3 linked regions of the Lepisosteus oculatus genome follow. The protein of the gene in region 2 purifies or fractionates together with the protein of the main gene of each other region. This does not show direct contact. Links are inferred from orthologs where the notes say so. Each region holds a gene or a part of one and is shown on either strand. Other genes may lie near its edges.

Evidence for each region. The genes of interacting proteins can lie anywhere in the genome.
Region 1: the proteins of atxn2 (region 2) and lsm12b purify together in Homo sapiens (affinity purification with mass spectrometry; 4 studies listed by BioGRID and IntAct, with this or other methods). This does not show direct contact. The link is inferred for Lepisosteus oculatus from reciprocal best matches to the Homo sapiens genes ATXN2 and LSM12.
Region 3: the proteins of atxn2 (region 2) and pabpc4 purify together in Homo sapiens (affinity purification with mass spectrometry; 4 studies listed by BioGRID and IntAct, with this or other methods). This does not show direct contact. The link is inferred for Lepisosteus oculatus from reciprocal best matches to the Homo sapiens genes ATXN2 and PABPC4.

What each region holds. Positions count from the first base shown.
Region 1 is NC_090723.1:7,309,913-7,317,669, forward strand, and holds the start of lsm12b (protein LSM12 homolog A), read right to left. Parts: upstream 3,021-7,757; coding exon 2,894-3,020; intron 1-2,893. Other genes in the region: g6pc3 (glucose-6-phosphatase 3), read left to right, coding at 4,669-4,886, 6,869-6,975, 7,686-7,757. UniProt on the Homo sapiens protein: Nicotinic acid adenine dinucleotide phosphate (NAADP) binding protein. Confers NAADP sensitivity to the two pore channel complex (TPCs) by acting as TPC accessory protein necessary for NAADP-evoked Ca(2+) release.
Region 2 is NC_090717.1:12,985,559-12,993,363, forward strand, and holds the start of atxn2 (ataxin-2), read right to left. Parts: upstream 3,012-7,805; 5' UTR 2,479-3,011; coding exon 2,372-2,478; intron 1-2,371. UniProt on the Homo sapiens protein: Involved in EGFR trafficking, acting as negative regulator of endocytic EGFR internalization at the plasma membrane.
Region 3 is NC_090706.1:2,444,549-2,451,784, reverse strand, and holds the start of pabpc4 (polyadenylate-binding protein 4), read right to left. Parts: upstream 3,021-7,236; 5' UTR 2,444-3,020; coding exon 2,248-2,443; intron 1-2,247. Other genes in the region: coagulation factor XI-like, read right to left, coding at 3,855-3,862, 4,555-4,711, 4,989-5,128, 5,260-5,355, 5,629-5,798, 6,411-6,576.

The DNA.
Region 1 (7,757 bases), on a different chromosome or scaffold from region 2:
AACTAAATGCATTACTGGTAACAGGTTTGCGATGTCATCATAAAAGGCTAAGTAATGAAAAAGAGAAATGGAAAATTCACAACTACACTTGAACAATTTTAATGCGCCCCTCTGACTATCAGTATGTCAAACGACGCATGTACAAGGGCAGCTCAATATCTCAACCCAGCATAAAAGTTTATAGCCTGATAAAACAATGGCAAAGTTTGTAACCGAGTAACAAAGTAATCAAGTCCACCTCAGAACACGTGCTAATTCAGATCTTTAACTATGATCAGTTACGCAAATCTATGACTATGCTGTACAGGACTAGCTTGCTTAAAACATTAACAGTAAAAACAGAAACAAGGTTTCAATTCCTCACTAAACCTGATTTCCTATAATTCACACTAGACTTTAACCAAGTCGCACTAATACAACAGAATTATAGCAGTTTCCTCATGTCCTGCTAAATAGTTTGTGCAACTTTCATGTAACTGCCTGCTACCTAATATGGCCAGCTGCTCTATCACCCTGCAACTCACAACTGACAATCCAGCAAAGCTCAGCAGGTGTGAGCCTGGCCAGTAACTGGATGGGAGACTCCTGGGAAAAACTAAGGCTGCTGCCGGAAGAGCTGTTAGTGGGACCATTAGGGAGCGCTCACTCTGCGGTCTGTGTGGTTCCTAATGCCCCAGTATAGTGAGGGGGACACTATACTGTAAAAAGGCACAGTAGCTGTGTTACTCCTGGCCAAATTTCCCATTAACCCTTACCAATCATGGCCTCCTAATCTCTGATTTGGCTTCACCAGTGTTCTCCCCACTGTGGTGAGTGGACTGGCGCATCATCCAGGTGGGGCTGCACACTGGTGGTGGAGGGGAGTTACCATTACCTGTAAAGTGCAGTGTCCAGAGAAGTACTAAGCAAGGGTAAGGAACTATTATTAAAAATAAAATTCCCTTGAATTTACAATTTGTCCAGCAGTCTGCAAACCTGCTGAAGTCTGAACTCATTAATTTGAATGGTCCTGTCTTAATGTGAAAGATCAAGTAGTGCTGGTGAAATTACTAGCATTGTTTTTTTTCCCCAAAGCAGATATAAAAAACAAACAAGAGCTCCAGGCTAACTAAGTAATGGTTTCACTTTCTGTAGAAAATGAAACGATTTAACAGATTTTAAATTGCTTTCTAAATGCCTGATTTGATTGTATTCCAGCACATTCTGCAGGTCTCACAATGATCGGGCCTGCTGGAAACCTACAAGGACAACAAGAATGACATTACGACAAGGTTGAAAAATACAGACTTCCAGGCAAGAGGAACCGCAGGTGACGAGGGTCAACATCGGCCAACACCATCAGCTCCGCCCAGCCTCAATCATACCTGGGTGGCCTCTCTGTGTTCTTGCCAGAGCACAACTACCTACTGCCCAGACACTGTCAGACATCCTCAGGAAAATCTTCATTCAGATATCCCTGCAGTCCACAGAGACAGAACACAGACCAGTGTCAGTCCCTGCCCTGAGGGATATATAATGCGCACAGGAAAGATCTACCTCTGCCTGCATGTATACTGCCAGCTGATTCTCAACATAAAGCAATCACTATCACTGAAACCAACAGCTATGTACCCACCTGGGAATATGTTTTGTAATAAACTAAAAAAAAAAGCATCTCATTAAAAGAGGCACAGAAAAATGTAATAGACCAGGATCTACAATGTAGGTAAAAAATGAAATGTAGAACTCGTACATACTATTGTGCATTTTCTAGATATCCAGTCGAGTAGTAACGCCTGCTGTTAACAACAGCTTGCCGACCGGGTTGCAATAGGCTGGGCTACAGCATTTTCATAAACCAGCGAATTAACAAGACGTGCCATCGACACACCGCAAAAATAACTGCCCGGCATTTGCACCGGGTAGCGGACATGGCTACCGCTCGCTATCATCCGCTTGTGATCAACGAACCGGCCATAGTCAATTTCAAGGAGGGATTTCAATTACACACTGAACAACATAGCACCCAGCACGCCTGGCTGTGGCTGAGATTTTTTTTTTCTCCCCCGGTTAAACCCACGGGTCGCGGCGCTAACGCCAACCACCACGCTGGGATATCGCGTCTGAGGCGCGACGAGAGGAGTAAACCGCGGAATCGTGGCCGGAGACGATCGGGGCTCGGAGGTGTAACTCGCCATGAGCCGACGTGCAGGCCCGGGAGGGGGAACCACAACACAGGCACCCCCTCTCCAGAGCCGGCCTGTCTCCGCGCCCCCCCACTCCACCACGAACGGATCGAGGCGCCGTCGGAAAGAGCACCCGAGACGGCCGGCGAGCGATCGCGCTGCGCTCACGTCTCGCCCCGTGGTAGGTGCACAGGCGGCGAGAGGCACACAGATCGCAGAGGAGAAAAACGTGGACAAACTCACCCTCCCCCCCCCGCCACCGCCGCCGCCTCACACAACACCCCGCTGGCAGAAATGGCCACTAAGCCTTAGTGCTACCGACCACGTTTCCGCGCCCCTAGCCGTTTTTTTGGTCAATTGATTCGTATTATTTCAAAGAATGATATAAAGAAGGAAAAAAAAAACAGCCATGATGCCCCTTCTGGAGCTGCCAAATAGTGCTCCCTACCAAGGACTGGGTTCCTGGCTACAACGCTCGGACCCGGAGCCCAGCCGCGCTCCGCTGGCTTTACCGGGGGCAGCTGGGGCCGGGTGCGGGCCCACTCTAAGCAGGTGAACCCCGATCTAGTTTGGGGACACGGTCGGGCCCCCACGGTGGCTGCCTTCGTTACTACGCCTGCGCGGAGCACTATCTGGCAAGAGCGGCCGGTTACCCCTCAGGCCCCTCCGCCAGCAGGAGAGACCAGCGAGCGGCCGCCGCCGCCGCCCCAAACACCGCAAAAGGATACTCAAAGTCAGCATCTTGGACTGGTAGTCGAAAGCCAAGACCTCTCCTTGCAGGCGCTGTCCCAAGCAGGTGAGGCAAGCGACCTGACTGCCGACGCTGAAGTACTCCCCCGGTCCTGGAGCCGCCATCTTCTCCGCCAGGAAACCGGAGCGCCAGCCTTACGTAAGCCTACGTAATGGCGTCACCGTATTCGACTGGGACGTGAGAGGCGCGTTCTGACGTAATCGTGTGTTCTTTTTCAAATTCTGGCAGAGACTTCTGAAAATAACCGCTTAATTCTCATATTATTCACGTCTTGTTTTTGTGATTCTGAAAGAACATTTCTGTACTGTGAGTATGTTTATATTGAGCCCCATTGTTTCAAACGAATCTTTAATAAAGGAATAGAAACCTCCTTGGACTAATACTAATACTAGCTTGATAAAGTACATAATCGTATATATAGTATACATTACATTCATTTTTATTCTGTATTAGGCGGATAATACTTGGTAAACGTGATAGTAAAAGCATGAAGTTTCGTCACCTTATCGGGACGCGGGAGTTCATAAATTGATTTCTGAAACTCGTTTATATAATATCTAAGCAATCTCAAGACGTCGTTTGGGAGAACATTCTACGTTAAGAGCCCTATATGTGTTCACAGCTTGTAGGTATAGTGTTATGCGTAGAAATGATCATCCGGAGGCGTATAGACGTTTAACTGGCTTTAATAAAGTTAATGCATCATCTAGGTGGATGCTGTACATTGGTGGTGGTGGAGGGGATCCCCATTGCCTGTAAAGCGCTTTGAGTGGAGTGTCCAGAAAAGCGCTATATAAGTGTAAGCAATTATTAATTATCATTATTATTAATGTATGACACACTCTCCAACTTTCTCTCCTGACCTCCGACCCCAGAAACTCTCTCCTGACCTCTGACCCCAGAACCCAGTCGTATATAGCATCCCTGCGCACTGTGTTCTAGTAGTGCCATCACAACACAGTAGGCATTCAAATCCGCTTTGCATCCCATGAGAATATAACCGCCGTTGTATAGGACCCCCAAAACATAAGGGGTTGTAGCAGACAGTTCGATAAAGTTCCTAGTTTAAAAAAAAAAACTGGGGCAAACTAATTTTAAAAGTCATCTGTATAGGGTCACTGCATAACTAGTTACGAGATAATAGCCAAAGTATTAACATATACAATGTTATACTTGGTATGAAGTAATACTTTACCTCTTCAACGTTTGCCGACTTCTTTTCGATTTACAAAAGCAGTCCCTTACACATGTAACCTGTTACTGTAATGGGCTACGTTGTTGTTGTTGTTGTTTTGTTTTTTTTTTAAGTTACTTTCTCCCCCAACAAAGGCAGTGCGTGCCAGACCATCTCTCTGAAGAGGTCACCAAATAACAAACGAGTCCGGGACTGAAGTTTGTCCCTTTCCTCTCCCGGTTGTCGGCAGTCAGGAAATGATCGAGCCCGATGATGCTGTCAAAAAAAATTAAGCACCAGGAGCCAGCCCAGAGCTAATGACCGCGCCAAGTTTTCCGCCTGTAGCAGCATCTCTCGGATACCTGCGTCTGCGCTTCATCCCGGCATCACTGGCCCATTAAGTATTTAAAATTAAAGAATATCCAGTGCAGCGGTCCTCCTAGTTGTTGCAATTAAGGTCACTACAGTCAGTGCATATAGCCCGTAGTCATTATCTGCCGTTCTTTTAACTTTGAAACGTTTGTAACTCCTATAAGTTGTGGCGACGGTCCGTCCTCGTCGAACCAGCTCGTCTGAAGATGGATGCGATTCACGCCCAGGGCGTCCGGATCGCCGAGGCGCTTCAGAACCGGCTGATGGACCATGAGAAACTCTGGCTGTCCATCACTCACCTGGGCAGCCCCAAAGCCGCCTTCCTGCTCTGTTTCCCCGCCACCGTCTACCTCAGCCGGAGGACCGGAGTGGCCGTCATCTGGGCCGCTATCATTTCGGAGTGGCTGAATCTCATTTTCAAGTGGTAAGCGAGAAACTGGTTACATGAACAGTCCGGGTTTTGGGGACAGACCTTAGGAGCTTCCCGCATGCGTTTACCGCAGGACATCTGTAAATAAGCTGCTAATGTATAGGAAAAGCGTCAGTAACTGGTATTATTGTGCACGACATTCTCCGCTTTGTGTCTGTCACGGGTTTTGGACGATGACGCCAAACTACCTTTGCTGTTGCTGCGAAAGGGAAGTTTGTTGCGGACTCTGGGACCTCAGACCAGCTCAGCGTGTTGCTGCTACTAGCTGACGTCCGTCCCCTCAGTGGCAAGAGATAGTGTTGCAACTCTGGTGGCGCTCAGGTGGTGCAATCGCTACTGTACCTCTCAGCCAGTTTCCGTACGCCACAAGCGCCTCAGCTAAAAACTATTTTGTGTGCTGTCCAGTTTCGTGCACTGGCCTCTGCTTTAAATGACCGCATTTTGCAGAAGTGTTTCTATAAACCCTAGATTCCAAGGCATCTGAAAATCCCAGTTTTTTCCTTGCTTCTTATATACCCCTTTCGCATGCTTCCGAGTGCTACCCTGCATTTGGTGCTTAAATTAACCCTGTAATTGCTCCAGCAGATTGGTGGAATGCGTATGATCCCTGCGCGCCAGTACTTAAAACAGCGGTCAACATGCCTGTTCTGAAGACGGCAGAGCGGGCTGACGTCACTTCTGCAGCTGGGGAGCCCCGCGCTGAACCCCGTTAAACATGCAGTTTTCTATGTACTCGCTGGCCAAGATGTTAGTGCTGCCCCCCCCAAGTCAAAATAAATAGAATCTGAGGTCAAAGACATCATGGCTTTCCTTGGCCAGAACAAACCCCAGCTCGGACCTCAATCCTGTTGAAACCCAGAGGGCCACACGGTTTAGTCCCACACACTGTTACCACAACTTCAATTGCAGGCTATCCTTTCTAAAGGTATGGGTTGGGACTGGGCAGCAGATATTACAAACAGTATTTATACAGGCCATCTGCTGTTCAAGCTGTTCCTGTGCTCGCTGAGGCCTTAACATAATATTTAATGGAGTTTCTTAATATTTAGGCCGATATGCATACATCATACACAGTAGCAGGCATGTGCATCGTAAATGAGTGCAATTAAGGGATTACTGTGTAGAAACAGGAGAGGCATCATTGATTAGGACAGAGAGTTGACCACACAGCAAGGAAGGGTTGAACAGCACTGTGCATCTGATGTGCTACTGCTTTTCTGGAAGACATGCACTCACATTTTTATTTCTATTTAGCTGTCCCAGCTGGGACAAGCATGGGAAAAAAACACATGGGAAAAAAAGATTCAGATCTAAACCTTTGCCCATCTTCTGTATAAATCTACATGTTAAGAAATGCTGATTCGCCAGTCCCCATGAATCCTTCTGGCTCTACTTATTTATTATACCCAATACTACCCACTGGAGCTCAGCAGGGTTGAGCCTGGTCAGCACCTGGATGGGAGACTCCTGGGAAGCTATGGTTTCTGCTGGAAGAGGTTAGTGGGACCAGCAGGAGGTGCCCACCCTGCGGTCTGTGTGGGTCCTAATGCCCCAGTATAGTGGTGGGGACACTATACTGTAGTGGGTGCCGTCTTTCGGATGAGATGTTAAACCGAGGTCCTGACTCTCAGTGGTCATTAAAGATCCCCGGACATTTCTCGAGAAGAGTAGGGAGTTATCCCGGTGTCCGGGCTGAATTTCCCCCCTCAGCCTTTACCATGGCCTCCAAATTGTCCCCCTGTATGATGGGCTTGCACTGGCCCTGCGATGGACTGGCGTCCTGTCCAGGGTGTACCCTGCCTTGCTCTCGAGGCTCCGGCTTCCCGCAACACCGTAGGGTAAAAAGCAGTTTGGCAAATGACATGACGTGACAATGGGGCATGACCTTGTTTCAGAAGCGAGGTCAGGGTGCAGGTGAGTGCTGTACTGGGTGGTACGGAATTGATGGACTGGGATGCACTGTTCTCTGTCCCCAGGGTGCTGTTCGGCGAGAGGCCCTTCTGGTGGATAGGAGAATCCCAGCTGTTTCGCACAAACCAGCCGCAGGTCAGGCAGTTCCCCTCCACGTGCGAGACAGGACCAGGTGAGTGGAGGGCAGTTCGCTGCCTCCTTTTTCAATGAAAACGCGAGTACGTCAGGAATCCTAACTCAGGACTGACGGCTGACAGCTGCTGTTCACCTAGACCCAGTGCATCCACATAGCTCAGGAAGAAGAAGACTGCCCAAAAACAACCATTACAGCTACTGATGAAGGCAAATATCCAGATAATCAAGGTATAATACTTCACTACAGTTACTACTTCAAGATCACAACAACTCCCAGTCCTACTGGGAGAGGGAGGAGGGAACTAGCCGGCCAGTATGTGACCTCCAGTAACAGCATGTGGAACAGTGAGCTTGTCTCTCAATAATGTTCATATATTTATACGTCAATACCTTATGATGTGTCTCTACTGTAAACGTCTGTAGGTTTTGTATGTTAATTGTATTTGTTTAACTTTGGCAACACTGATTTACTAATTGGTCATACCAATAAAGCATCGTGAATTGACAGAAAAAAGTGTTTGGTGCACCTATAGCTGCATTCATTATTCACACATGGATGCTCTGGCTGATCAGGGGGAGTTGGGGCCGTGTGGTTGCTGTTGTAATCGATACCACAGTGGGCAGGGGTATAGAACAGGCCGTACGGGGGCCCAGTCAGAGTCTAGTAGGTTTTATGTGGGCTCTGTGGGTACCGGGATGCCCCTCAGGGCTGACTCGTCAGGACTCTCTCTCCCCCCCCATCTCCAGGCAGCCCCTCCGGCCACGCCATGGTGACGGCGGCCGTGTGGTGGGTGATGGCGTCCGACCTGTCCGCCTTCC
Region 2 (7,805 bases):
TAATGTATTTATGGTCCATTCATTAGACTTCATGGCTATTAAACTATTATGACGTGACAGCTTTAAAAACAATGCATCACCAAGAAAATGCTTCTAATGCATAGTCAAGTGCTCCTTTAAAGTCATTTTTAAAAACCCTACTGTTAGCTCCAGCTTTAGAAACTGAGCTTCTCCCCACTCCAATGGACTGGTTGGCTAAATTAAAACATCCCAATTTAGCGTCTTAGAGACGAAATTCCAACACCAATAAAAATAAAAATGACCTTGAAGTGCCTTTGGAAATTTGATCATTGTGAGAAGTGAGAAACATAAAAACTGTGATGTATGGGGATACAGTACCACTGAAATAACCCCTCCAACATTATTCTGAAGTTCAGTAAAAGAAGTTAACATGGAAGTACAGGGCTTAATCTTATTTTAACTATAGTATATTAACATTACTCAAGGACAAACTGAAAACCAGTCATTAGTGACGTCCTTTGATTTTTTTCATTAGGCGTTTGCCCAGAAGCATGCCACCCAGTAAAATAAAATCGAAATCAAGTTCACTACAAATAGTGCATAAACCAGGCATTATCTTGATCAATCCGATTCCCTAAGCACACAAACCAGGTGAAAGTTGTCAGCTGCTCTCCACAGCCTCCCCAAGAACCTGTAAGGATAAGCAAGGCTCTCCATTTCAGCAATGAACACAAGTTCGCCCACTCAATAAGCCCCAGCAGGTACACCCACGTACCCCAACTCGGCGCCCTGGGTTTTTTTCCTGGAGGCAAAGCTCAAAACCGGGCCACTGACACAGTATATTAACACTACACCTTTAAAAGCATTCATGTCAAAGCACTCAAATGCAGGGCTTCAGCTGCGCCCTTTTATCAGCTCAGTAAAGGTATTTGTTGACTCAATAGGTTAATAGTTCCTGATCTAAACTACTTGATGAAAACATCACCGTGTCTACTCCTTGACCGGGAATTCAAACCAGACCTTACTGCAGAGAGCTTCATTAGTCATTTTTCCAGACACGATTCAAAACGCCACTTGTGAGCAATAACGCAACCCCAACATTATTCCTCCGCACAAGAGAAGGTCACAACAGAAGCCGCTGCCGAAAACCCTTTTTTTCTAAAAAAAAATCAGCTTTCACTGAAATCGGCCGGAATAGCGCTCGCAACAGGATCTCCACCTTCCTTTAAAAAAAAAATGGTCTGCCTCTCCATTCACGAGTGTAATTTGTTCAATCCACCCCACCTCCCTCACACAGCGATACACACTTGTTAATGCATCGTGTAGAGAAGAAGGTAACACTGCACAGACAAAACGAGGCGGAAAACGGCATGAAAGGTTACCAGCCAGAGCAGGCCCATGCAGCAAGACGCTTCAAGGTACCCCTTGCCCTCCTCCACGAAACCTGCAGCACAGGTCAGTCTCCCCACCCACCACCCAGCAGATTCAGGGCAAAGCCGCTAGAAAACACTGCACCCCGTTCAAACACTGACGGCGGCGTCAGAGGGGAAGCCCGGATCGCAGCCGGGATGTGGCCCACGAGTGGATTTAAAATGGGGGGGTGGGCAACTCTGCAAGGCCGCTCCGGCTGCACGGATGCGCCCCGGCCCGGGTCTGGCGGCTCCCCCCGAAGGCATCGCTGGCTACACTGGGGGCAGAGTTAACAGCTCTTAGCTGGGGTGGGGAAAGGCCTGTACGGCTACCGGGCTGCCGCAGAGGTACAGGGCTGGGCGCGGAGCAGGGCCCCTCGCTTCAAACGTGAAGCTCTCACGCCGGTGTGCGCAACGCAACAGCGCCTGACGCCTCGGCCAAGGCAAAGCGCACCGACTGCACGGCCGTGCCGGTTCTCGTCCTCACACACACACACACACCAGATGCTGAAGGTCCGGTTGCGACCGACGCCGCGGCTCCGCAGAAGCCGCCCCGGGCACGCAGCCTCTTGCAACCCGCCACACAGCGGGCACACGCCGGCCCTCGCCCGCTACCCCACCGCGGGCAGGGACCGGTCCAGCCTACGGGCTCACGTCCCGCCCGCAGACACACCTCCGTGAAAGGCAGGCGAGGCGTGCAGGTTCGGGCCGGGCCCGACCACGGCAAACGCGCAGCGAAATCGCCAGCCGGCGTGGGGCACGGCTCCCACCGAGGAGGCATTTCAATAACGCTGACCAGCGACAAAAAAAAAAAAAAGCCGAAGGCTGCGTGCTGCTGCAGGAGGCCCGGAAAGGTGCGCTAGGCCCGAGCATTCACATTTATTTCAACAGACATTCACGTCTTCGCACCCCCCAAACCTCAAAACCCCCCCGGGCAACCCACGTTAACGCGGCTCCCGGGACACGGCCGGCGGGGTGTCAAGGGATCTGAAAGCACCGACCTGCCCAGGCTCTGCCGTCCGCCGGTTCCCCCGCTTCCCCCGGCACCAGAGGCCGCAGCGGGGCCGCCGCCGGGTTTTCGGTTACCTCCGGCCTGCTTCATGGACATGACGATGATCCCATAAAAAAAAAAACAACGTACTTAACGGTATATCGGCTAATGTCTGGTAAAGGATACAACCTAAAAAAAAAAAGAGACAACTAAAATAACGATGACACTACCGACGACTAATTTTCGCAATTAAAAAATACAGACTATTTCTTCTTTAAAAGACAGTACGTCGATGATCCTCAGCTAATGAAAGCGTTATTCCTGTCCCGTTGTGTTGTATTTTAGCGACAACAGACAGGATTTTCGGCTTCTTCGGCGTCTCTCTCCGTTGCTATCAGCGAAGGGACCAAAACAGTCTGAGAGAAGACAAAAAACAGCGGAGGGATATATCCAGGGCGCAATGCTGCGTACATCCACCAAATTCCCCTTCCAGCCGCCTAACAGCTCTCCTGGGGGCCAGATTAGCGCAGCCTGCCTGGGGTTTTCAGTGAACCCGATCGGGGGAAGAGGGGTTTTGAGCTGGGGGTCGGTTTAAACGCCGGGGCCGGCGTTGCGGGCCGGCGCACTATTTACAGGAAGTCGGAGGACTACCGAGGTCCTGTGGCCGTGGTGCGCCCGCTCCCCCCCCCCTCACCACCACCACCACGTGAGCCGGCGCGAGGCTCGGCAGCGGGACTCGCGGGTAGGGTCCGCGCGCGCCTGTGTGCGCTGTAGCTGCAAAGACAGCTCACTAATGACACGGCTCTCTAACCGGTTTGCATAAAATTAGCAACACTTTATATCATTTTTCGTTTCACGAATTGGCAGCGTCCACTGATCCCTCTCCCCCGGTTTAATTTTATTTTTATTGTTTTGCGTGTGCAGACTAAAGCCGGATATCCTCGGTCTTTACTGACCGTATGACCCGCTTTCATTTGTTACCTGTCAGTGACATCCCCAATTAGAATAACGTCTCCAGGGCTGGGGCTGGATGTGCATATTTATTGCAAGGTAGAGCTTGACTTGCGTAGTCATCTCTCATTCATGTCACTTTAAATTATAATTCCTTGCTTGCATATAGTACTTCTCATCCCTGTGGATTATCCCGGAGCGCTTCCCACACAACAGGAACCAGTTCCTTCTCCTCTGAATCGCATCAGTTCAGGGGGAGGAATGAGAAACCGCATCACCAGTTCCATTAAGGGAGACTGCAGGGAGACCAGACTGTACGAGAGACCGGTGTGCTTCAATTCAGGATACTGGCACTAACACCCTTAAAGTTTTTGAAAAATTCGAGGCAAAAATGAGAATTTTGTTATGCCCAAGCAGTCTGGACCTCTGCGATGGACCGGCATCCCACCCAGGGTGTCCCGAGCTTTCTGGGAGAGACTCGGGCTCCCCCATGACCTTGCAGTGGATAAAGCAGTGGGGAAACGGGTGGTCAGGACCTGAGCTAAATGTCTCGTTCGGAGGTCAGCACCTCCTCCGTCCCAGTGCTCCCTGAAGCCACACTGAAGGTTTGGTTTGGAAACAGTGGACCCGAGGGTAGGGCGCCCCCTAGAGGTTCTGGGTCACGCCGATACCCTAGCGTTCACCTCCAGGCAGGGTGGGAGTCTTCACAGGCCGCTGGGGCTGAGGAGGTCTCCCGCTGGAAGACGGGACCCCGGAGAGCGAGTCTGACCGAGGGCCACACGAGCGCGTTCGGCCCAGACCTCCAGGCGGGCTGGAGCCTCTATTCACATCAAGAGCTCAGTGAAGCCGCACGGGGCAGCTAGAGACACTCAAGGAGTGAGTCAAGACATCAGCATGTCGCATGTGGCTTATTGACGGTGCCGTTTTGACAAGAGCCAACTCGTACTTTCTAATACAGCAACGTGGGCAAAAACAGATGGGGCGTTAACAGTGGCCCGCCCCTTCTTGGCGAGTGTTGCCGGGATACAGAAGCTGTGAGAGCCAGAGGTGGGCTAGTGTTTGGTCCAGCTGGGTTAAGAGTTTAACCCTCATTTGAAGAAGCAGCAAATAACATTTCAAAAAGCACTTAGGGACAGTTTGTATCTGGGCAGACACATTTAATGCAGATGGGGGCAGGGTCTCACAAGCAGGTGGTAGAAGAAATGAAAATACACCTAACGGGAAAGGCGAGGGTAGAAGAGGGTACTTATACAAAGGGCTTAAGGGCTGATTGGATGAATCAATCCAAGGATCTCATTCAGCCTTTTCTTGCAGATGAGATGCTTGTACTGAGGCCGGGGGGGCAGCCTCTCCTCATTTCCATACCTTTCTTACTGGTGTAAAATCAGAGAGGGGGGTGTACCGTAGCCGTCTTCACATCACACAACCACACATTCCTTTGTCGACTTGTTCGGGGACTGTAATGTGCCACACTACACTGCATTTAAAATAAAAATAGCCAGACAGGTTAAAACGACACACCACACTCTTGAAAAGTTTATTTCCACACTTCCCCCAAAAAAACCAGGGAACAGCTGTTCACAATGTGTGCTCTGTTACACCCGTCGTGTGAAGGCCACCAGGTTGATGCCTTAGTACAATCTGCACCATGTCAGTGTCCTCAGTAATTAGGAACGCTGTGCGCTGCGACACGTACAAACGGATTTTGCCCCCTTCCTCCCTGTACACACACACACACACATATCGGTCATTTTTAAGTTTAAACACACACACTTTGGAGCTTCTTAACACCAGCGGTTCCCAGCCTCGGTCCTGGGGGTTGTTCTTTCATCCTCGTCGTCAGTTACATGATTGGATTTGTAATGGACTTCATCACACAGGATTAATCTGAACTGTGTGGCTGTTGTCAGATGTTACCCTGTGGGAGGTAGCCTTTTAACTACTGCATTTCCTAACTCAAATCAAATTCCAAACTCTTGAGTCTAGAGAGCACCGCAAACATTCCAATCAAGCACCTTATTTAATTCAATTAAGCCTTCAATTAAGTAATTAAATGCAGCTGGAATGAAAACCAGGTGTGTGGGCCTCTAGGACCAGGATTGGGAACCTTTGCTTTGTATCTTAGGGTTGCAGATTTCCAAGCATCTGGCTTGGGCCCACAGTACTCAGGCTAACTAACAGCTAAATGCAGACTGACTGCTATCAATTACCGCCTACAGTAGAATGTTGTATTTTTTTACACTGCATACAAGACTGTAAATTGTATATTGTTTTCTATACTGTGTGTTGTATCTTACTGTATACTGGAAGATACTCTCTTTTGCCAGCAGCCATATCACCCTGCAACTCACAACTGGCAACCCACTGAAGCTAAGCAGGTGTGAGCCTGGTCAGTACCTGGATGGGAGACCTCCTGGGAAAAACTAAGGTTGCTGCTGGAAGGGGTGTTAGTGGGGCCAGCAGGGGGCGCTCACCCTGTGGTCCATGTGGGTCCTAATGCCCCAGTATAGTGATGGGGACACTATACTGTAAACAGGCGCCGTCCTTCGGATGAGACGTAAAACCGAGGTCCTGACTCTCTGTGGTCATTAAAAATCCCAGGGCTCTTCTCGTAAAGAGTAGGGGTGTAACCCCGGTGTCCTGGCCAAATTTCCAATTGGCCCTTACTAATCATGGCCTCCTAATAATCCCCCTCTATGAATTGGCTTCATTACTCTGCTCTCCTCCCCACAGATAGCTGATGTGTGGTGAGCGTTCTGGCGCACTATGGCTGCCGTCGCATCATCCAGGTGGATGCTGCACATTGGTGGTGGTGGAGGGGAGTCCCCATTACCTGTAAAGCGCTTTGAGTGGAGTGTCCAGAAAAGCGCTATATAAGTGTAAGCAATTATTAATTATTATTATTATTATTATTTTGTAGTACTGGCTTAAATAGAAACAGTATTGTTCTCTTTACCCGTCTGTACGCTGAGAGTACAGGCGTGAATAAGAATTCAAATGTACTCGTTATAAAGGGCGAATTAGCTCTACACTCGGACCCCACCTCCAGTCCAGCCCAGGGAGGACGAGGAGGGCCAGACGGGCTCCTCGCTCCTGCCTCCTCCCCAGCGCCCGGCCGGGGAGCTGGTGCTGCGCAGCGGCGCGGAGGTGCTCTGACCTGGCGGGGCGCTGGTAAGAAAGCTAGCCCCAACCCCAGCGATGGCGGAGGGGTGCTCTGCTGGCCCCTCTGCTCTGCTTTGAGCTGGGGCTCAGGTTTCCAGTGCCGGGGGTGTCCACGCTGCCTGGGAGCCCCCCGGCACACCCCTCATCCCCACCACCCGAACTCGAAAGCAAAACCCCATCTGAACTAAGAGAGCCTGTATAAACACCATGGCAGGGAACCTGAGAAACAAAACTGAGAAAATGTAAGGGAATATTAGAAAGAAAGAAAAAAAGGTCTTAATAACTCTTGCCTTTTGATTTCTTTAGACCAGAAAGTGACTCGGATGACCCAGGGAAGGTGGCCATTGTAAGCAGGAGATGTAGGTAAACAGGATCTAGTCATATTTGGGAAATAAATGTGGACTCCTGCAGAATATAGTATGTAAAACACAGCAATGCCCCAGAGAGGCCACCCCCACTGTTGAGAAAATCAAGACAAACGTGCTTTTCACAAGACAGCGCAGAGAGAGCAGTACTCTTTCAACAGGTTTGAACTATATAACTGAAATGAGTACGGCCCAAAAAATACCCGACGCTATACATTCCGTCATTTCGGAAATACATTTTCAAGAGGGAGCGTAACGCTGGGCGGGGAGTGGTTTTTTTTTGCAGGTGTAGGCCGTCATTCCTTGACCGGGGAGAAGGGAAATCTACGTCGCGCTCTGATGAAGACCTGTGGCGAACGTCCTCGCGCTGCCACGCGTGACCCGGGTTCGGCCGGACAGCCGTACGGGTCGGGCACCAGATCCTACGCTCCACTTGAGAGCGGTTCTGAACAAACACGGGCCGCCCTAGTACCTAGACAAGGATGTCAAGTAAATACAATGCAGGAGCCTTCCGTTATTCATGCTTCTCTTTGTATGAGATGAGGAACCCAATCTGTGGCCAAAAGAGGAATATCCCGTCCTGCTAGCCCAAGGGTAAAAACCCTTTTGCAAAGTGCTCACTTCGGGATGGTCAAAAAAACAACATGCAACAAGCCTTTCCAAATTTCAATCTGCAGCCGTGACAAGTATAATACAACTGCAGCACAATGTTACAGTGGTGCCGAAACACACACATGGCACTGGAAAGGATGACAGAAACAACAGGAGGAGTGAGTCTATAATGCAAATTGCACATTCCAGTTGAATAATTTTGGGGTAAAAATGAAACGTCATCTAATGTACAGGTGCTATTGGTAACAACTGTGAGTATATTAAAGAGGTGCCACTGACAGCAGAAGAGCCAACAAAAAGTTCCAAACTAACTCCTAAGCATACATTTTCTACATAATCTGTGACAATTCATCA
Region 3 (7,236 bases), on a different chromosome or scaffold from region 2:
TCTGCCTCATGAGGAGCACGTCAGGAGCTCAGCATTGCGCACGCACTCGAGACAAAACAGTCACGCCTGTGACAGCGCAGGAAGAAGCAAAGCCATGTGCTGGAAAAGAGGAGCGTGGAAGGATGAGGCCCCTCTGGTACAGTTTTAAAAAACTGCCGTGCGTGAAATCAGACAAAGCCACAATAAAGGCTTGTTCAAAAATTGCACACTTGGGGTTTTGCTTTGTGGAGTCCACGAACAAAGTCTCTATTGTGCCCTGCTCGCATTGTGTATGTGTCGGGCTAGCAGTCGAACAGCAGGCCTCTGGATGAGACATGCTCCAAATGTGGAAAAAGGAGGAGCAGTGCACCACAACACCAAACATTTCACTGTGCATCTTTCCATGAGAAATCTAAAGGCAGCGGAACAGCAAGTCATTAGAGGACCCAGAATGGGCACAGTCAGGGACAGGACCCAGAACGGGCATAGACAGGGACAGGACCCAGAACGGGCATAGACAGGGACAGGACCCAGAACGGGCACAGTCAGGGACAGCCGAGAGAAGTAGCTGCCTGAAACTGGCCAGCGGTGCAAGCCCAGCAGCACTGCTTGTCCTGAGTGCTCAGAAATGGAGATGGCGAAAGAACAATTTGTCAGGTGCCTTCTGATGCTTTGCTTGTTTCTCATAAAAGTGCAAAACCAATCAGCCTTTCTGCGCTTGGTAATCTGGGAGCCCGAATGGAGATGAAGAATAAGGTCTCCATGTAGCTGGTCTGCAGCCGCTCAGCCTGGGGCAGAGGGAAGACAGGAGAGACAGAAATCGACAGGGCTGATGGGAAGGGCAAGGTGAAGACGCACCTGCTGTAGTCTGAGACTCTTCATACCTCAGATGTCCTTTCAGCTCTTTGTTTCGTTATTATCCACTTTTGTTCTGTGTTTAGCTGAAAAGGTCGCAAAAGTGGTGGACGATGGGAAAAGCAGGGTACAGTTTAGTAAAGCACTGAGAGTTGTGAGAATACATAATTCCCAGCTGTGGAAACCAAAATACTTGGTAAAACTAGGGGACAATATGCAAGTACTATACAAATTTACATTTCCCATGGTATTGTGCACACTCTTGGTTACCATGTGATAGAAAGATCCTGCTGCAATCAGTCCAAACAAGAGCAACCAGATACATCCTGGGGCTGAAGGGAGTGTCCCTCCCTGACAGACGGAAGGAACTGAACCCTTTCAGTCCTGAACAGACAGGAGTATGACGGGACCTTAACACACATACTCAAAATCCGCAAAAGGACAAAGTCGGCCCTGTGTATTTCTTCAGAACGAACAGTGAAACACAAACCAGGGCTCACAAGTGGAAACTACAGGGAAGCGCATTTAAAACCAAGATCCGGAGGCACTTCTTCAGCCGCAGGACAGCGAGAGAGTGGAATCTGTCCAGCCGTGTTGTTGAAACGATCCCCCGACTGTCTGGATCAATCAGCTGCTAGCTGCTAAACAGGCTGGAATGGTCTTGGAATGGCCTTTTCTCGTCTGTAACTGTTTTTATGTTCTGTAGTAAACGTTCTCAAAGCCGTGAAGCTGAACCTAGTGTCGGGGAAGCCTGGGCATGATCGCTCCAGGGGGACAAAGCCTGCTCTGCACGAGTCTTCACTCTCCCGAACTGCTGGGGCGCAGAACCCACAAGTAATGATGACAGGTGGACTTGCACCTGGCTGTGGAGGTACAGTATGTGTTTGTGTCTGTGGGCTTAAACTCCAGAGGAAGCTCCCCAACAGTCAGCCTGCAATGCTCCCTAAAACCCCTTCAGCTGCTTTGCCATTTTTATACCCTCTACTTAGTTCCTCGCACTTTGTTTATACTTCACCGCACATCTCAAGTAAATTCACTGCGCCCTGCCGTTTAGCATGCAGGAGAAGCAAAAACGTACTGATCGAAGATCTAATCAATTATTGTTACCAGAATCCTTTCAGACCATGCCGTTGTGTTTAGACACGACAGACCCCATAAGCTCTCTATATGCAATGGTGTTTTTTTTTATTGCTCCTCCTTCACCGTGTTAATACTGTACACAACGCATGTGAGCTGGGCGAGAGCATCAGGCTTCCTGCGTCTTTTCACCGCAGTACGAAAAACGCGCACGGGGGAGAGGGAGCGCTGCTCTGCTTCTGCCCAAGTTGACACACTGCAGGTGGGGGGATTTAAAGAGTCACAGCCATGCCGACACACACAAACGCACCAACACGAAGTATATACTGTGCTTACCGTCTGCGGGCTGCTGAAAGTTCACATAGGCGTAACCCAGAGAGCGGCGGGTGATCATGTCGCGGCAGACCCGAATGGACAGAACCGGGCCGGCGGGGCTGAATTTTTCGTAGAGCATCGCCTCAGTGATATCGGGGTGCAAGTCGCCGACATAAAGAGAAGCCATCGGGTAACTCCCTGCTGTCGCAGTGTTCATTGTTCGGATTTGAATAGCGGACGGCTGAGATGTTTCGGTGGATTTATGTACGTGTGTGTGTGTGTTGTAATGTTCAGTAAGCACAACAGCTGCGCTCCCCGAACTGCACAGTTTAATTTAGTCGAGGTCAATGGATCCACCGCTAATGTGAAATTATTTTGTCAGTATTTGTAGACAAAAAGCCTGGATGCTGTAAAAGTTTCAATAAAAAATCTTAGCTGAAGAAAGGAAAAATAGAGTCCCAAAATAACCTCAATCTGGGATACTGAGTCCTTTTAAACAGTGCAGTGTCTTGCTAAGAATATTGTTTCTTCTTACTGATAATTGTAATGGAAATTCTCGTCTTTAAAACTTCAGGCAATCCAAGCCCGAGGCCTTCTGTAAATATCAAGAATTAAAATAAAACAAAAAAAGTATTATTTTGCGTTTTTTTTTAATTTTCCTTTTTTTCCGCCTTGTCTTGAAGTTCCGGTATTTTTTTCACAGGTTTTGTGTATTTTGTGTTTTTTTATTTTTTTGTGTTTTTTCTTGAAGTTGTGAAAGAGCAGTGAGTGCTCACACTCGCTCTGTTTTGTGGCCAGGGAAAGAGACTGCGTGCGGAACGCGTGGGGACTTTATAGCGCGAGAGAGGAGAGGAAATAGCTGCCAGGGTCAAACTTGGGATAAAAAAAGCACCGACTGACAGCGGAAAAGGAAGAGCATGTTAGCCTGTCAGAACTACCCAGCTGAGCCCGCTATAGCGACATCTGTGTGCTGTGAATCAAGCTGGGAATCCGGGAAAATACCAACGCCCGTTTCCCTACTCAGTCTGATATTAAACCAGGCAGCTCCAGTGCTCCATCCCGATTTTTTTTTTTTAATTGAAGGCGGTAGCCTGCGAGAAAAAAAAAGTAATTTAACACGTTTTCCCTTACTGGGTTGAAAACAATGCTAATGCACGGGCAAGAAAACTCATAATATCTTTTCCCTTCTGTCTCTACATTCATTCTGCCATTTCAGTAAAAAAAAAATCTCTCTTTTCTTTTTCAGTACAATCGGTATATTAATTATTACTCCGACGTTCCTAGCCTCGCTGTGCATCCTTTTACAGTATGTGATTAAAACTTCCATGTTGTAATAAAACTCACAGAAACGTCCTGATCTGAGAGATTAAGTATATTTGAATATACATGTCGATGTGCTCTTATGGCTCCCAGTTATGAACAGGCGAAACAGAGATTGAATGAAAGAAAAGGGTGGCGAAGACGGGGCTAGTGCACTGGTATTTCTTTTGTGTCCAAAATCTGTGTCCATATTCCTTCTTTAGGTGTCTCTGTTCCACTAGATACTCTTCTGTTGTACAGCCTGGACTGGCCGTTGTAAATGAGTAAGCTGTTGCCCAGGTGGCTTATCTTCAAATCCCATCTGGGCTTCAGGAATCTAGAAAAAAACAAGAAAGAAGGATTGGTATCAACACCTCATGATCATACTTGACCACATGGCAGATCTGTGTCCGGAGATTCCCCTGTATTGCCAGGCCGTGCTGCAATAACATCTCTTTTTTTTTTTGTATGACAAACGAATGTTTTTTTCAATAACATCTCAGTTTAGTCTCAGTGCGATGTCTGTCACAGAGGCGATGCACAGATCTCACGAAGCAGGTGGGCTCACTGTGCTCAATCACTGCGTGTCCGAGCCTCGAGTGGTGACACTACAAGCTGAAAGGAGGAATATGGAGGAACGTGTTTTGCAGTGCAGTCAGGAATAGCACGTTTCCCAGTGGCCAGTCTTCACGAGACAGCAAGCCGGAGGTGCCGCGCGTCAGACTGAACCTGTACCGAGCAGGACGCTTGCAGACGTTGGGAGAATGTGGTCAATCCTCATTCCTTCATTTCGCCCTGGGGGCACCGGGCCCGGCCCTGGTTTGTGAAGCTGCAGAGCACACTGGCGCCCGCCGTGGGCCGCCGTGGCGGATGGCAGGCTGCGGGGGCCTCAGTTTTGGGCCCAGACGGGTGTCACCCTGGCGCCGCCCACTAGAGTGCTTCCCGCCAGTCACAGGGTCACAGGGTGACGGTACTCTGGGCCCCACCACCCCAGCCAGGAGCCGTGCTGTAGCGAGGGAGGGATCTTACTCTGGCAGATGGTGCCTTTAATCCAGTCCCGGTACTTCTCCACTCGGGTGTACACCCCGGGCTTGCCTGCCACCCCACAGCCATCTCCCCAGCTGGTCACGCCCATCAGGTACCACTTGTCCTGCGACTCGCACATCAGGGGCCCGCCGCTGTCGCCCTGGTGCGGGAGGAGCACAGCACAGAGCAGGGGGTTAGTGTCTTCTAGGGGGCCCGAGTTCATACGCCCTGCCCCCGGGGCCCTACTCCTGGCCAGCAGCACACACACTCTGCAGGTGAAACGGGAGAGAGATCAGCCCTGTGGTATGCACCTCATTCGCAATTAAAGCTCTGTACCAGAGAGCTTCAATAGATAAATCGTCATGGGGGGCTGTGGATTCTAGGCTCATTTCCCGTGAGGCAGTCTGTGCAACAGCTCTGTGCACATTCTGCGTTACCTGACAGGTGTCGACGCCACCTTCCTCGAGACCTGCACAGAGCATGGTGTCAGCAATGGAGCTGTTGCTGTAGAAGGACCTGCAGGCCTCAGTGGTGATCAGAGGGAGCTCTGCTTGCTGAAGGAAACTCGGCGATTTTCCTGGAAAGGGAAATAAAACAGCAAGAGGTTTTAATGCTATAAGCTGAATTGCTAAGCAGGGAGCTCAAACGCTCTGACGATTAAGCAGCCCGAGGTACAGCTGAAGCTTGTTGCATGACTTCATGGCTTACCTGAAGCCAATTTCCCCCAGCCTGAGATCCAGCATTTCTGTCCCCAAAACTCCTTCTCTTTTGCCTTGTTTGGGAGGCAGATAGGCCACTTTGAGTCTAAAACAACAAAAACTAAGTGTCAAAATGCTTTGGAGGGATAGGAGGAAGGACAAATGAAAATACAAAAAATACCATGTCAAAATGCCCTGTACACATAAAAAACAACACACGATCTTACGGTTTGTGTATACAAACCCGCAATGTGGTGTTTGTGATTTCTACATTTCAGACTGGAATTAACCTTTACTTCTTCCTTCTCCTAAGCCCAAGACAACCTGACAGTTTTTTACTATGTAGTTTGGCGGCAATTAACTTTTCTTAAATGCTCACCATCGTACGTGATGGGCCTGTCCAGTTTCAGCAGAGCTATGTCGTTTTCTTGATCTCCCTGATCGTATTCCGAGTGCATCAGGATCTTCTCCACGCCATAGTACTCCGCGGAGCGTGTTTCTTTCTGCCTCAGTATCCCAGCGTACACCTTCAGGTCTGACGCCTTGGAGCTGCAGGAGTGTACCAGAACAGTGAGGGTCAGCACGTGTGGGCAGCACCCCTGACTAGCTTCATGCAACGTCTCGAAAAGTTCCGCTTCTCGAAGTTCAAGTAGGTAGCTGCGTCAGCATGTGTAGGCTGCAGAGAAACAGGTGAAGGTTTATTCCCTGCTGAAAGGAAAAGAAAAGAGACACAACGTTTCAGCTGTGGAGCCTTCATCAGGTCTCTTTTCCTTTCAGCGTGAGTCAAATTTGCATTTTATAAACGTTTTTTTCGAAAGTCAAGTTACAGTAAATATAATCGTAGCAGAACCGTAATGTGAATGCTAACGTTATGATTCTCGGGTTTATTCTACAGTATTTTGCCTACAGTTTTGCCTCAGCTGCCCTGTCTCACAATCACTGCTGAGATAAATTTTAAAAAATGCTATAAATTCCACACATAAGCCTTTCCTCCTCTGCATTCATCCTCTGTACCCCTCCTCCACCCCCCCCGTGCCCCTGAGCAGCTGCCCCCTGGTTCCCTCCTCGCCCTACAGCCGAGCAGCTTGAGCCAGATCCGTCTGGGACTGCACTGCGGGCCGGTGTGTCTGCTGCGGGCCGTCCGGCGTGCCGCGGGCTCACTCTACGAGGCAGTGCGCCGCGGTGACGACCCAGCGCCGTCTCAGGATGCTGCCCCCGCAGCTGTGCGAGGAGTCCTCGTGCAGGGACACCTGCCACGGCCACTTGTTCCTCTCCGCCCTCGTCCCGCCCAGGATCCGCGCCTGCGTGTCGTCCACCTCCCCGCAGTCTGAGAGCAAGGACAAGAGCCGGCGGCCTCTGTGAGCTTGAAATCCCGCCTTCGTCGCCAACACCTGGGCCTGGCACCGGCTCGTGTGTGAGAACATGGCCACAGACCATATTGCTCTGAACCTTGTGTTCACCATTATTGCCCCTAAGGGCATCAGGAGCTCATAAACATGTTACACATACGACCATAATACAACACAGCAACAGTACAATACCATAATATATCACATAAAACAACATTCAGCAACATCGCTCAGTCAGAACTCTTCAGGTACCACATGATTAAAAAACAGACAGTTAACTCTTGAAGAGTCTGAAAACAATAACAAGAAGAAGATCCCTAACTACAGACATTTTTTTCCACTGTTCTAACAATTGAATGCTTTTAGGTATAAAGGAAGTAAATGCTCTCCTAGTCTTTCTACAGGGGATCAGGAGAGTATATTCTCAAAAGAGGGGTCATCGAAGATTTTCTGTGCAAGATTAATAATAATTAATCTGTCCAATTAATAATTGGACTTATTGAGCCCAAGGATGCTCTGGTAATCTTGCCACCAGTCCTGATCACTTTGTTTAACTTATTGTTGTTCTGCTAGGACAAGGCACCTCCCCAGCGCTGAATACAAAAAGCTAGAATGCTCTGAATAAAACTCTGATAAAA